Linked DNA regions of Astyanax mexicanus. The protein of the gene in region 2 purifies or fractionates together with the protein of the main gene of each other region. This does not show direct contact. Links are inferred from orthologs where the notes say so. Each region holds a gene or a part of one and is shown on either strand. Other genes may lie near its edges. The genes, in order: dusp6 and mapk3.

Region 1 (7,385 bases), on a different chromosome or scaffold from region 2:
TACCAGAACACGCAGGATTACTCAGTGTAACGCTGTCGTTTAAGTTTGGGTTAACTTTACTAGTTTAGGTGACTAGCTAGCGTGCTAGCGGATAGCTATGCTAACGCTGGTGCAGCAAGCCTTAGTGGACATCTGGAAATCTAAGCTTACTGTAAATAAACTGAAGCACGTTACTCACCCAAATAAACAGTTTTCAGGAGAGGAATCTGTGTAGATTAATATCCAGCACTCGTTTGACTTTGAAAGAGCTAGATTTATATATACTGAGACGCTCCACCGGCAAGCGACCACCCCCGGTGGGGGAAGGGAAACATGGCGCCACCCCTGTTCACTTTGATATAGGCACCCTTTCTAGTGTCACTTAACGCGCCTTATAATGCGATGCGCCCTATGTATGGAAAAATAGCAGAAAATAGGCGTTCTTTGATAGTGCGTCTTATAATACGGTGCGCCTTATAGTCCGAAAAATACGGTATTTGTTTGGAATGTACTAATAAATAACACTTAAATCAAATGTTTAAGCAAGAAATTCTTTACTCCTTTGCAGCAATCGGGACTTCGGCTGGAAATAGTTTAATCATTTTCTCACTCCTCCCACCATCTCTCCAAACAACATTATGGGATCTTTTTTTTTTTTTAAATGTAGATTCTCCTAATGCTAAAATAAATGAAGTGAACAGTGTCATCATACCCTGTCTCAACATTTGATTGGAACTGCGCTCCACTACTTAAAACAGGCCATCCCAAAAACTAGACCAATGCTTGTTTTAGCTTTACTGCTGAACAAAAGGAGCAGTGTCTTTTATATTCAAATGTATGAAACAACTAAGAACTAAGACAATTAATGTTACATGCACAACACATGTACCTTAATGTGGGGGAGGACATGGAGCCAGTCTACGCAAGACAAAGACTTTTACAGACTCCTGGCCCGCAGGTGTTTTGAGAAATTAAGTCCTAGGCAGAACAGAAACAAGAAATCAGAGACTCCAAAGACAAGTTTCTAAAAGCTGCAGGGTAATGTCTGTTGCAGTGAACTCCCTGCCATGCATCCGAGGTTAAGAGCTCTGAAACTGCACACACCTTTTCTGCATGGTCGTTCTGCATGTGAATGGCAGGCCTAAATGGACTATTAAGGGCAATTGGCCGCTGGCCTCCACAGGAGACAGTGTGTCTGAGAACAGTGGCTGCTCTGGATCTTACTTTACATTTTTCATCAATGTGATGCAACTTTTTAGTACAAATACCAGAACCCTCTGGATTCCTGAGTGCTACTACAGGAACCCTTAGGCCAGGGGTGTCAAACTCATTTTGGCCGAGGGCCACATTGGCATATTGGCTGTCCTCCGAGGGCCAGATGTAACTTATAAATGTAATAAAATGTAACCAAATGTAATATATGTAAATGAATGTAATTACTCCTTAATGTTAAATAACTCTCAATATATTATTTATTCAATCAAATATTACAGTTGCATGGAAAAAATGTTTGCTTGTTGCTCTATTAACATAAATCCTTTTAATTTGTCATGTCATGAAATCCAAAAACTCCATCAATCAAGAACCAAACTATTCAAGTGAATAGAAATGACATGACATCAAGTTATATTAACTTTGAAATTATTAACTGAAATAAGGCTTAATAAATATAAAATCAAATTGTGAGCTGTTAAGAACATAGCATTTCCTCAGATTTAGCAGTTCCTCATCCAACCACTAGTGGGAGCTGCAGCAGCAGCAGCACCACAAGTCCGCAGTCTTTACTGAGTCAGAGCTACAGCCCAGCCACGGGCTACAGGGCTCAGCTCAGCCAGTCTGGAGCGTTTTTAAAATTTTTAAGTTCTTCTGTGTATGAAATAAAGATTTTTGTAACCGAATAATACAGCTCTCTACAGTTCATCTTTCAGCCCAATCAGCTAACAGCAGCCGTTTAGAGCATGAGTCACTGCTGGGATTACATTGTAAACAGGTCAGTTATCGCGCTGCTAACCTCAGGATGTTTATAACTACGGAGTTTAGTGGACACACCACGGCAGCAAGGTTAGACTGTTGAAGGCTACTGAAGACTATTAAAGGCTATTGGAGGTTATTGAAAGGGTTATTGAGGGCAGAAATTAGTAAAGGCTGGTTAGATAAGTGATTCACGTCCTCGTACTTTGCTGCGGTGAAACTGCGACTAGCGCTGTCCCAGTGATGTTTATTAACGTCATTAAAACAGATTTTGTCAGCTATTGTCTTATAAATATTTACACAGAACTTATATCTCTCCTAAAAAGCGTTTATTTTGGTCAGTAACACTCTTCGTAACACAAAAGGCATACCGGTCTTTCGCCTTGAAGCACAGCCGTCCGTCTGCATCAACTTCTCTTTTTCTGGACATTATGGGATAAACATTTATGTCTCAATTCCACCCGCGAAGTTACACCTTCCCTCCGGCAGGGTTTCCACATCAATGACTACACTGCCGTGTAGTGGCAGTAAGCCGTAACTTTGCGGGTAATACAATCGACAAGCATTGTGGGAAATGTATTTTTTGGTCAAAGAACGCTTCTGACTTATTTATTATAGACACTAAGATCTTACAAGCTCTCGCGGGCCACATAAAAAGACGTGGCGGGCCACATTTGGCCCGCGGGCCTTGTGTTTGACACATGTGCCTTAGGCTAATGAAGGTATGAACATTTTCAGATCAAGATTTATCTCTGAACAACAAACTGAACATACAGAGCAGTGATTTGCTGGAGTACTTTATCAAAGCTAACGTATTCTCTAAACTGGATTACAATGGATCTGAGGTAATCTGATCTAGCAGCACTGATCCATACCTAACCATACCCAACATCATCATTCACCAGATTACTAACAAAAACAATAGTTTATCTACTGCTAATAATCACGATCATAGTAGGAGTTACATTTTAACATTTCCACTTCACAGTCCATTAATATTAATGATATAATAAATCTCCCCCCCAGTTAACTGTTAAGAACTTAAAGTGTTTCCTGTACAGATTGCAGTGGACTAGCTGTAATACAGAGAATAAAGAAAAGCATTAATTTGGGGGATTGGCGAGTCTGGATCTTTCCTGGGTACGTGTGCTAAACTGATCTAATGGTTCTGCTAATGTGTTTATTGAATCATCGTTTACACAGGATATAGACCTGCTGAACAGCCAGAGAGCCATCAGCATCTGATCATGTGGCACGAAGTGCGATATCTCCTGAGCGAAACCCCTGCGTGGGGGGTTATAACAAAACAGCATCACGGCATTGTAGTTGTTCTTTAAGACACTATAATAAACACAAACTAACTGACAACATATGTTCCACTGTGTAGATTAACTGTAGTGTAAAGGTTTTGACCTTTCTATACAAACATAATAAATGAACCAATAGTAATCTAAACACTAAAACATTATGCACATTTTATATTGCAGCTCATATTAATTGCATTTTTGAATCTACACAATATGTTTAAAGCTAAATTACTAAAATAATGAAATTAGATGTTTATTGTTATTTTACAATGTTGCTTACTTTTCGCATGCATTTTTTATTCTAGCACCCCATAAAAGTATATATTAGTATTTTAAGTAACACCACTAATATAAAAAGTGCGCTTTATTAAGAACAAGGTAATCACAGAATATTTTTGTGATTAACCGGATTGTTTTAATCTCTCTCTCTCTCTCTCTCTCTCTCTCTCTCTCTCTTTATATATATATATATATATATATATATATATATATATATATATATATATATATATATATATATATATATATATAGTGTGTTTATATAGTTACAGGGTGTAGGGGGAGTAAAGCCCCCTCCTCCCCTCTCCCCGGGTTGTTTGCGGTGTTGCGGATCCGGAGCGGAAATTCCTTTCCGTTTTTGTGAATGACAAACTCATTAACTATTCATGTTCGCGGCCTGTTCCATCCGGCTCCGTTGCCGAGGCGACCAGAGCTCGGCGCTCTCCCATTGGTCGGCGCGTGTAGAATGCGGCCATTGAAACGAAACGCCCCTCGCGCCCCGAGCTCCATTCACTCTGTGCTGTCTGTCTGTGTGCAGAGGAAAACCTGCGCGCGCTGCTCACAGATCCGCTTCTAAAACCAGCGAGGCTCGCGGAGCAACATCAAAACAGAACCGCGCGCACTGAACGGAGAGTAACCCGCGTGCAGACCGCGCGCTGTGCCCGATACACTCTCCAACACCGGAGCGCGCTGCGTTATATAACGAAAGAGGCGACGTCAGCGGCGGCGGCTCCGCTCAGTGGCTGCCGCTCGAGCCATTGATAAACGCGCACGCGTTCTCGGTGCACTGCATGAATGGAGAGAAGCTGAGCGCGCGCGGGCTCGACTCGTTGACGGGGATTTCAGTCAGCAGCGTGTTCTCCCTCCTGCTGCTGCTGCTCTGGTGAACGGATCTGCTGCTGCGTTTAATGCTCAAGGCCTTGCGGCTCCGTGATCTTCGTTCGGCTCGGTAAAGGGGTTTCAGACAGACCGGAGGCGCGCGCTCGCTCGCTCCCTCTCTCTGCTCAGTCCCAATGCTCGATAAGCTCCGGCCCGCGCAGCTCGACTCGGCGATGGCGATCAGTAAGAGCGCTGAATGGCTGCGGGAGCAGCTCGAGACGCGGCGCGACGGATTGCTGGTGATGGACTGCCGCGCGCGCGAGCTCTACGACTCGTCGCACGTCGATACGGCCATCAACGTCGCCATCCCGAGCCTCATGCTGCGGCGGCTGAAGAAGGGAAACCTGCCCGTCAAGTCGCTGCTGTCCAGCGGAGAGGACCGCGAGAGGTTCGCGCGGAGGTGTAAGACCGACACCGTGGTTCTGTACGACGAGTACAGCCGGGACTGGAACGAGAATGTGGACGGAGGCTCCGTGCTCGGTTTACTGCTGAGGAGGATGAAGGACGAGGGCTGCAGGGCTTTCTACCTGGAAGGTGTGTGAGATTAAATCACAGAATCCGGCTTTAACCTTATCATCTCTTATAGTTATCATATCATAACTTTTTGTATAATGGGTAAAAATGAGCTGCAGTGGTAAGACGTTATATTTTATTTGAAAACGTAAATCTTAACCTAGTAATATAATTCATTTATATTAACATAGATTTTTGGTTTAACATTTTGTTGCTTAAAATATTCACCTTCAAAACAAATGTACACTCTATTCATAATGTAAGCGTGTTTCTGTGTTTCCGTAATCTGCCATTTAAAACATTAGTCAATAGAACATTGTGTTCTTACTCCAGTCTTAAAGCATTAGTCATTAGTTTTTAATTACTTTATGTATTTATATTTTTCAGTGTTAAAGGGACTTAATCTGCAAAAACAGGTCTTCTCATGCCTTCCCTATAATGTTTTAGTCTTTATAAAAGAAGGCATTAACCTTAGTGATAAAACCATACACTGAATTGTTAATCTTCTAGTAAAAACATTTGTCTTAACTGTTATCTTAAAAGCATGCTGAAGTCTACAGTAACACTCCTGATAAAACTTGCTTTGTTCCAGTTGAAATCTGGTGTGTTTTTTTTTTTTTATCGTGGCCTGTCTTTTTACAGCCTATGTTAGTGAAAGCATTAGGAAAGTCTCAGTGCCAGATCTGACTTTTATTAAAATTAAATTTTTGTACACTTGTACTCAGCTGTTTTTATTATTCCTAACAGGGGGCTTCAGCAAATTCCAGGCCGAGTACCCTGCACTGTGTGAGACCAACCTCGATGGCTCCTCCAGCAGCAGCTCGCCTACGGCTCAGGTGCTGGGCCTGGGAGGGCTGAGGATCAGCTCGGACTCCTCGGACATCGAGTCGGACATTGACCGTGACCCAAGCAGTGCCACAGACTCGGACGGCAGCCCGCTGTCCAACCCGCAGCCATCTTTCCCTGTGGAGATCCTGCCGCACCTGTATCTGGGCTGTGCCAAGGACTCCACAAACCTGGACATCTTGGAAGAGTTCGGCATCAAGTACATCCTCAATGTTACCCCCAACCTGCCCAATCTGTTCGAGAATGCCGGGGAATTTAAGTACAAGCAGATTCCCATATCCGACCACTGGAGTCAGAATCTCTCCCAGTTCTTCCCAGAGGCCATCAGCTTCATTGGTAAGTGTAAGATAAATACAAAGACAAGTACACGCAGTCTGATATAACATCTGCAAACTAATGTTGGGGAAGCACCTGGATTTGTTTTTAATTTGTTTTATTATGACAAAGGATATTTTTGTCCTCTGATTTACAGCAGCTCATTTCACCAGAGCACATTCGAAGGCATGGCATGTAAAAAACTTAAATGTAGCCTTTATTACACAAATGGGTCAGAAATAAAACCTAGATCTAACATTAGGAAGATCTACTAACCCAGAGCCAAGAAAAGGCACCTCTTTGTTTAAATTGTAACTAGTCAGTGTTTGAGTGGATGCCACTGTTCCTTTATATTTGCGAGTTTAGCTGAGCCTTGTGCAATTGTGGTACAAAGGCTTAGGATGAAAGAGGAGAAGGGTAGGGGGGTGGGTGTAATTTGAGCTTAACAGGAAGGAAGCAGCATTGAAAGTAATGTAGGACAGAGCAGTGTTTCTCCACACAATGGGGCCCATTTACAGGGGAATGTTGACATCCTGCTAGCCATGACAGGGTGCCCCCATGACTTCTACATTTACACACCCAAATGGTGCCATTGTCAAGTAACCTGGTGAGCGGAAGGATCATTTGATAGGCCATAATAGCCCATTTCCATGTCAGAATTCACAAAGAAAATGGAAGATTTGTTTTTTTCCCTGTCTTCTGTCATGCACTGGAGAGTCTAATGAATTCTGACACACAGCCCTCTCTCTGTCTCTCGGCAGCATGGCTAATGTAGTATTACACATTTATAAGGGCACTTTGCCTTAGCCACGCAATCTCGCAAATTATATGTAGAGGAAACTGAGTTTGTGGCTCCTCAGGTTGTTTATCTGGTCTTGCCAGATTGGTGCTTTGTTTTGTTTGTGTTGTGTGCATATGTGTTTGTATGAGCCCTGGAGGACATAAATTAATCAGCTTTCTTCTTCTTTCCTGTTCAGATGAGGCCCGAGGACAGAAGTGTGGTGTTTTGGTGCACTGTCTGGCTGGCATCAGCCGTTCGGTCACAGTGACCGTGGCCTACCTCATGCAGAAGCTTAACCTGTCTATGAACGATGCCTACGACATCGTCAAGATGAAGAAATCAAACATCTCACCCAACTTTAACTTCATGGGCCAACTCCTAGACTTTGAGCGCACACTGGGCATTCAAAGCCCCTGCGACAACCGCGCCACATCGGCCCCTTCGCAAGCGCTCTACTTCTCCACCCCCACCAACCACAACGTCTTCCAGCTGGACCCCCTTGAGTCCACGTGAGA
Region 2 (7,708 bases):
GCCACCTGTTGTAAAATAATTGACATAATCAGTAATCAGATAATTTAATAAAATGTCACTTTTTTAAATAAATATATATATGTTTGTAAATTTTACATAGCTAGCCAAGTTTGCAAGCTAGACAATGTTAGGTTTATATTTTGTTATTCACTTTGAGCGTTCGGAGAAAGCCCCATATAAACATATATAGCTATACAATGTATTGTTTTTGTTAATATTATCAAATCCACTATACATAACGTTTTTTATTTTAAAAAGTTGCGTGTCTTTTCTGTTTACTACAAAGGTGACACCATGTTAAAACATACAAAAAAAAAATAAAAATAAATAATAATAATAATAATAATAATAATAACAACTTGTTAAAGCATGGGAATGAGATTCTCATGTGTGGCCATTACTTAAAGCGTGGGGACGAGATCATAATACGTGGCCACGACTTAAAAACACATGGGAATGAGATCTGAATGCATTGCCACGACTTAATAAAGCATGGGAACGAGATTCTAATGCATGGCCATGACTTATTAAAGCGTGAGAACAGATCATAATGTGTGGCCATACCTTATTTAGGCATGGGAATAAGATCCTTACTTGTGGCCACGACTCAACCAAGTGTGGGAACAAGATTTTAATGTGTGGCCATGACTTAGTGTGGGAACAAGACAAATTGAGTCCTGACCATAACAATCGTCCCCACGACTTAATTATCTGGTTCTCAAGTTTTAATTAAGCTTTGGTCACTAATAAGTACATATTTTATTCCACGTTGTCACCATAGGGGGTCTGTAGGTTTGTGATTAAAAGTGTGGATTTGTAATTTGATCATTTCATGGACCAATAGAAATGCTTAAAATTACTGGACATAAAATCTTTTTCACTGACTTCCGTTGAAAGCTAAGATTGATTTTCTTTTCTAATCCCACTGCAGCAGACTTGTAGAAAAGCACAAAACATTGTGATGAGAAGAACAGCCACCTTTTGACAACATTGTAGCAACGTTGTAAGAACGTAGCCAACGTTGTGACAATGCTGTGTGTTCGCTGGGCCACCTAACGTGAACTAACTGACTGCCAATTCAGTGTTAATTACAAAGCACAACAACTATTAATGCATTTAACTACATTTAGCAACATTCAGAGCGTTTAAAAATCCTGAAAAAAGCAGCATTTCTGCCACCTCACTCCCCCGACTAAACACACAATTAGCATTATGGTAAAACCACGCCTTTCCTACAGGCAGCACATAATGAAATGTCAAGCCGCTAAACGCTAGCTAATGGATTAGCATGCAGGTTTAGCTCACAACTAGCCAGCTAAGTTAGCTAACCAGCCAAACACTGGCTCTTTTAGAGATTGGGCGACGAAAAAAAAACAAAAATTATCAGAGCGGACATGGACATGTCTTTAGTAACATTTATATTGTGGTTTGGTTAAAAATATAAGGCCAATGCCTGTATAAACTTTAGGTTAGCTAGGTAAGCTAACAGGATGAGCATCAAAATGACAGCTTGCTTGATTCGCTTCCTTGCAAATCCTTTGCATCTTTTTTTCCTATTAGCTATCGTTAGCTAGCATGTTTTACTATATTTTAACGTTTAAATATAATGCTAATCCTTTATTTGACATTCTTAACATAAATAACTAGCTAACCCAGCTGATAGTTACACTGTTTGTATACTAAACATCTAGTTAGCTACTTAACTCCTTTTTACCCATATCTATTTTTTTTTTCTTTAGCTAGCTCGGTTATGCGTATCTATTATGTTTGTTATTTATGTTAGCTAGCTAACTAGCTACCTGTTATGTCTTAACACCAACGTCTTGACTAGCTAGTTAGCTTATACTGTTAGTTATGCAAACACTTTTTTGCTTTGCTTTTTTTTTTTACTGTATTCTATTATCTCACTTTTTGATTTACTACTATTGTCTTTATTATTCTCATTAACATTATTATGGGCGGGTTTATTATTATTATGCGTCTGTGTTTGTAACTGGCTAGTTAACTGTATTGTAATGCACAACATCTTCGCCTGTTTTTTACATAGTTAACGTTAAGCGTCATCTTGTTTAGTTAGCTAGGTTAGTTGCTGGATAATGTTAGGATAATGTTTAGTTAACGCTTGGAGAACGTCCTATATAAACAGATATAGCTAGCTATATAGCGTATGGTTAACGTTACAGTTAGCTACAATTGTCGTTTAATATAACGTTAACTATCTAGTTTAAACAGCCACCAAGGACCAACACCTACTTTTTTTATCCAACTGCTAGTGTTGGTAAATCCAGGTCCAGAAAGTTCGCGTTAGCCAGAATCCAGCCCAGGATTTTATTCCAACTGCATTGGCAGCGCTGCTGTAGCTCGACTTCAGAGGCTCTGCTAAAGCCGTTGGAAACAAATCTTGGCCTGGATTTCTTTTTCAAATCATGAACCTGGATTTACCAGCATAGCCGACTATGCGATGCTAAGCTAGCGCGTAAGACAGCTAGGATAAGTCGCTAGCTATATACTTGTAGAGGTGGGTAACCAAGGTCCAGAAAGTAAAAATCCAACCCAGGGTTTGTACCAGCTGCAGCATAGCCGCCCAGGCAGTTGGTACAAAACCCTGGGTTGGCCCTTTACTTTCTGGACCTGGGTTATCCACCCCTACAAGTATCCTGCTAGGTTAGCTACGCTGCTAAGCTAACGCTAGCGAACTGAGCCCACCCTACTGTTGCAGCAGCAGCTTCTCTCATGGTGTTTATATCGTTAAAATGTGTAACAAAAACACAGAAATGTCAGCAAACACTTCCTCCCCTTACCAAACCATCCCGTACGCCCCCTCCCCGATGTACTGCAGATCGGTGTAGCGAGGGCCCACGTCAAAATTTTGCCCTTTCACGGACTCAAGGCCGGGCTTGGATCCCGCAGCTCCAGTCGCTCCCCCGGGCGGCACCGCTCCTCCTGCCCCGGCGGCGCTCCCATTCGAGCCTGCGGCTCCGGCTGCCGCTGCGCTGCTGCCTGAGTCCGCCATCACTCCGTCCACAAATCCGCACCCTCAGATCAATACAAACGAGTTCAGGCGATAAAAGGCGTCCCCGCGCGTGTTCTGCTGCTGTTTGTTGAGATCGCGGCCGCGGTGGTTTTCCGTGGACGAGTGCGCTCGCCTGACAGTCGAAGAGGAGTCGATAAATCGAGGCCCTCCTCCTCCTCTTCGATAAAGACTGTGTGAGTGTGTGGACGCGGATCCCTCCCGTGCAGCGACGCTGGGCGTGTGCAGATCTGCGCCGCCCACGATTAGCGGGGTTATTACCAGTATATTATATTACTATTAAACCTTATTAGCAGCTATATGTGGCTTAAAAGTATTGACATAAGTATTGAATCTGCATTTTGTATATTTGAATTAAATTTACCTGACTTTTGAATAAACTTGAAATATTTAATGAGGAGATTCAAACATTTTAATTCTAACAACTTTTTGTGTTTTGAAATTGGAGGTAGTGAAAATGGCTGTTAAAACCCATAAAATAAAATAAAAAAATCCAAATTAAATTAAAATCTATTTTATTCGAAACTCAAGAATACAATATTAGAACAAAGATGTAATCCAGTAGATTGATTTGAATTGATCTATCTGAAATTTATGCATCTGATTTTTCCAAATCTGAAAATCATATTTTGAAATGTATTTTTTCTTAACGTCAAATTTCTTCACCTCAAAAAAATAAAAAAGCACGTTCAAAACAAAAATTTATGAATTGTTCCATTAAAATTTTTAAGTTTGTTAAAAAGTCAATTTAAAGTAAATTTAATTAAAAACACAAAATTACAAAACATATTCGTTCACCCATCCAAACCACTGAGTCACTGACTGACTCACTGACTGACTGACTGGTTTTAATCACTTCCATGGCCACAGGTATAGGAAAACAAATGTGTCAAAAGTATCCACATTCATTACTCAGGTAGAAGTATAGATACTAGGGTTTAAAATACTTCTGTAGAAGTTAAAGTATCAACTCAAGTAAAAATGTAAATGTTCTGGTTTCAAAACTACTTGAATTATAAAATATAAAGTATAAGTAAGGGGAAAAATGCCATTAAGGACAAAAGTTTAGGCGGCACCACAGGAGCCTATAGTGCTATTTCTCTAAAAGCCATAATGACTATAATGTTATATTAAAATGTTAATTTTGAAAAAAAAATTGGACGCTAGGACACCTGTTTGGCAGAGGAAAAGGACCAAGTGATGCTTGCCGTGCTGCTACAATTACCCAACACTGCATGTGCTACTTTAAAATTAATTGATTTAAGCAATAAAAAAAAATATATATATTTGTTTTAAAGTTATAAAGTTACAGTCCACTCCAAAAATATTGGAACAGTGAGGCCAATCTATTTATTTCTGCATCTGAATCTGAAGACAAAAGACAGCAAATTTTTGTTTGTTTTGTGTTTTGTCAGACAAAAGGTTCTATCTTCTGTCTTTTAATAATAAACACAAATGTTTTCAGTTTACAGCAGATAGCAATAGTAGGACTGGCCTAACTGTCCTAATACTTGTGGAGGAGACAGTATAGTGGGGTGTGTAGTCTCTCTGTAAGTTATAAATGTGGATATCCACATCACCATTGGCAGAGGTGGTGAAATATCAGATATCGCCATCAGCTCAGAATTCCCACATCGGTGCTTCTCTTATGAATATGTTGTGTATACAATATACTGTGACAGGCCTGTGTCACAGCTGTGTATGCACAAAAAGAATATATGTGATTTTATGGCTAAACAACAGCAGATTTGTGTTGTGTGTACACCGTGTTGTAGTGTTCATGGTGAGCCCCAGCCAGTGAGACATACACGGAATGATGGGTAAACATTACTGACAAATTCCTAGTGATAAACTCATACAGTACTTTCTTCAGTATGCAGTGCAAAGTTCCCTTTAAACTGAACACTTTACTCCATATACTTTCACATCTCACCTAAAATGTCCAAATTCACTGTATAGTCCTCTTCACTGAGAAGCGGTGGGATGATAGGAATGTATCTTGTGTCTGTGCGAATCATGTAAGCAAACATTCAGGTTTATACGTGCTCCCATCATAGTGAACCACTCTAATTCGATAAGATCATGAGATCAAAGAGATAAGCCCATGAGCAAACTGATGACATTAATCTTAAGATCTGTTTTAATAAACATACACACTCTACGCCCTACATATTATGAAATTAAATGTGTTAGTCATTGTAATGTGAGTTGATGTGTGCTTGTGTTGTCACTGATATGTAAATGTGATATGAATGAATATGAAGTTGATTACGTGACATAAATCAACAGTGATAAAAAGTTAACGAGTTAGCATGCCCTTTTACATGTAAAAAAAAATCCCTGCACTGTCAATTATATAGCCAGTGTTTTAACATAGACAGACAGATAAAGGTTTAAATAAAGTTATTCTTGAACTACAGTGACTTGACTAAAACATATCTAGATTGTGGGCTAAAATGCCCATCCATTTATATTCAGCAATAGCATATATTAATAATGTAGCAGTAGAGGGCAAGCCACTCCACTGTGAGGAAAGCATTACTGTAAGCTAGAAACAGTAAGAAATGTGATAACAGAAATTAACATTTGTGTTGTGGCAGTAATTTGATAAGCACAAACTACTAATGAGGTAATAGTTTTCCATTAGACAGCCCTCTAATGATTGAATCCAATGATTAATAACCCAATTTTCATGTTGTTATGTTTTTCCCTCATGCTGGTCAAGCTGGTAAAGCTGATTGAATAATCTAGTCTTCAAGCATGGTCCATCTGGCCCCGATAAATAACAATTATGACTAAGCTTGAACTTACTGGTTGACCAGCATTAACACATACATTGACCAGTATTACAAGCACTATCAATCTGGTAGACAGCCAGCCAGACAGACAGACAGACAGACAGACAGACAGACAGACAGACAGACAGACAGACAGATACACAGATGGATGTTAGTGTCAGAAACACATCCAGAATTCAAACAGGTTGTACCAGAAGCCAATGGAAAAGAAGCTGCCAGTGGCAACAGACAAAACTCTCTGATCTCTGACAAAGATCTCTGTTTAAATGTGTACAGTTTCGGAAAAAATAAGAGACCACTTAAAAGTGATGAGTTTCTTTGATTTTACTAAACTGTAAACCTCTGGAATACAATCAAGAGGAAGATGGATGATCAGAAGCCATCAAACCAAGCTAAACATGAAATTTTTAACTGTGAGAAACTGATTCAGAAACTGGTCTCCTATTTTTTGTATACTGTATGTGGGCACGAATGTTCACCTAGTATAAAATAGTTGAGTAATGTTTGGAAATATGAAATTTTAGATAAAACAGGCTTAATTTTGTTTTACTTCAAACTAATTGTGGGTTTACAGTGTTTTAAACAGCATGATAAGCATGACCACACTGGTAAACCAATATGACAGCAAAACCTTAAATTATTATCAATTTAATGTGCTTGTCTTATACATATCATTAATCATTATTAAAGATTTTATTTTTTAATAATACGACTTGTAACAAAATGTATTTGTGTGAAAATAGAAAAACAAAATATTAAAAAAAATGACCTGTAAACAAACTGTGAGTTATCATACTTCTGTTTCTAAAGACCTTTTTCAGCATCTTAATATGATATTGATTCAGTCATGAATAAATGTTGAAATGCTGGCTGGTTAGTTAGTTCACATCAGCATATTGTTAACTACACTGACCATCAAAGACCAGCTCAGGCCATCTATACATTAATATCTGGTCTTAAGCTTGATGTTTCAGCAGGGCTGTTACCTTGATCACAGTGACACACATCTTATTCTTTTTTAGTCCTACAGAAACTCTACAACAGCTGCTCACACCTCTGTCATATGATGATATAATGAGTGTTACGATGCTGTAGAGATTGAGTTATAACCTAGCTAAATTTGTCTCTCTTCTGTTAAGTTGGTTAGATATGATCTTCTTATCACACCAGAATATAACTAGCGGGCAGTTTGCAAATTGGTGCCTGAGTCAAATGATTAAAAGTTTAGTCTTGAAGTGTTTAAATGAGGTCACATGCTTTACACGAATATTATTATCAAATTAAAGATGATAAGAAAAGTCTTGGAAATATATTGCTGGCTAGCTGGTGTGGTTAGATGGATTGGTTATGATTAATGTTGTGCAAAACAGAAAAGGAAAATGGACTTGTTCCCTAGACCCTCAGCCAGACCAAACATCAGACACTGTGTAGAGATGTATTAACCAGTATGAATTTCATTGACAAGAGATTCAGGGGTTCAGGGTTGAGCATATATCAAAATAACAAACAAAAACAACTACAAACATTCATGATAGCAAGGAACATTAGAAATTATATACATTTTAAGGTTAATGATAGAAAAAACAACTTTAAAACAACCACAATTTGACATCAGTTGAAAAAAAGGTTGAAATTCTGACATTAAATCAACATACATTTATCCTAAAGGCTTTGAATGTTTGGGTTAAGCTCTTCTACACCTACATTGATCATTTTAGGTCAAATGTGCTTCCAACAAATAATAATTAATATTATTCATCCTTATTATTTAAATCTCACTTTCTACAGTATAAGACCAACACAGTACAGACTATAAGAATAGACACAAATATTCCATGTAAGTAGGTTAGATTAATACTGCAAAAACAGTACATGTAAA

The links.
Region 1: the proteins of mapk3 (region 2) and dusp6 purify together in Homo sapiens (affinity purification with mass spectrometry; 7 studies listed by BioGRID and IntAct, with this or other methods). This does not show direct contact. The link is inferred for Astyanax mexicanus from reciprocal best matches to the Homo sapiens genes MAPK3 and DUSP6.

What each region holds. Positions count from the first base shown.
Region 1 is NC_064417.1:17,625,373-17,632,757, reverse strand, and holds the start of dusp6 (dual specificity protein phosphatase 6), read left to right. Parts: upstream 1-4,041; 5' UTR 4,042-4,549; coding exon 4,550-4,949; intron 4,950-5,675; coding exon 5,676-6,110; intron 6,111-7,066; coding exon 7,067-7,383; 3' UTR 7,384-7,385. UniProt on the Homo sapiens protein: Dual specificity protein phosphatase, which mediates dephosphorylation and inactivation of MAP kinases. Has a specificity for the ERK family. Plays an important role in alleviating chronic postoperative pain.
Region 2 is NC_064426.1:25,608,775-25,616,482, reverse strand, and holds the start of mapk3 (mitogen-activated protein kinase 3), read right to left. Parts: upstream 3,221-7,708; 5' UTR 3,014-3,220; coding exon 2,802-3,013; intron 1-2,801.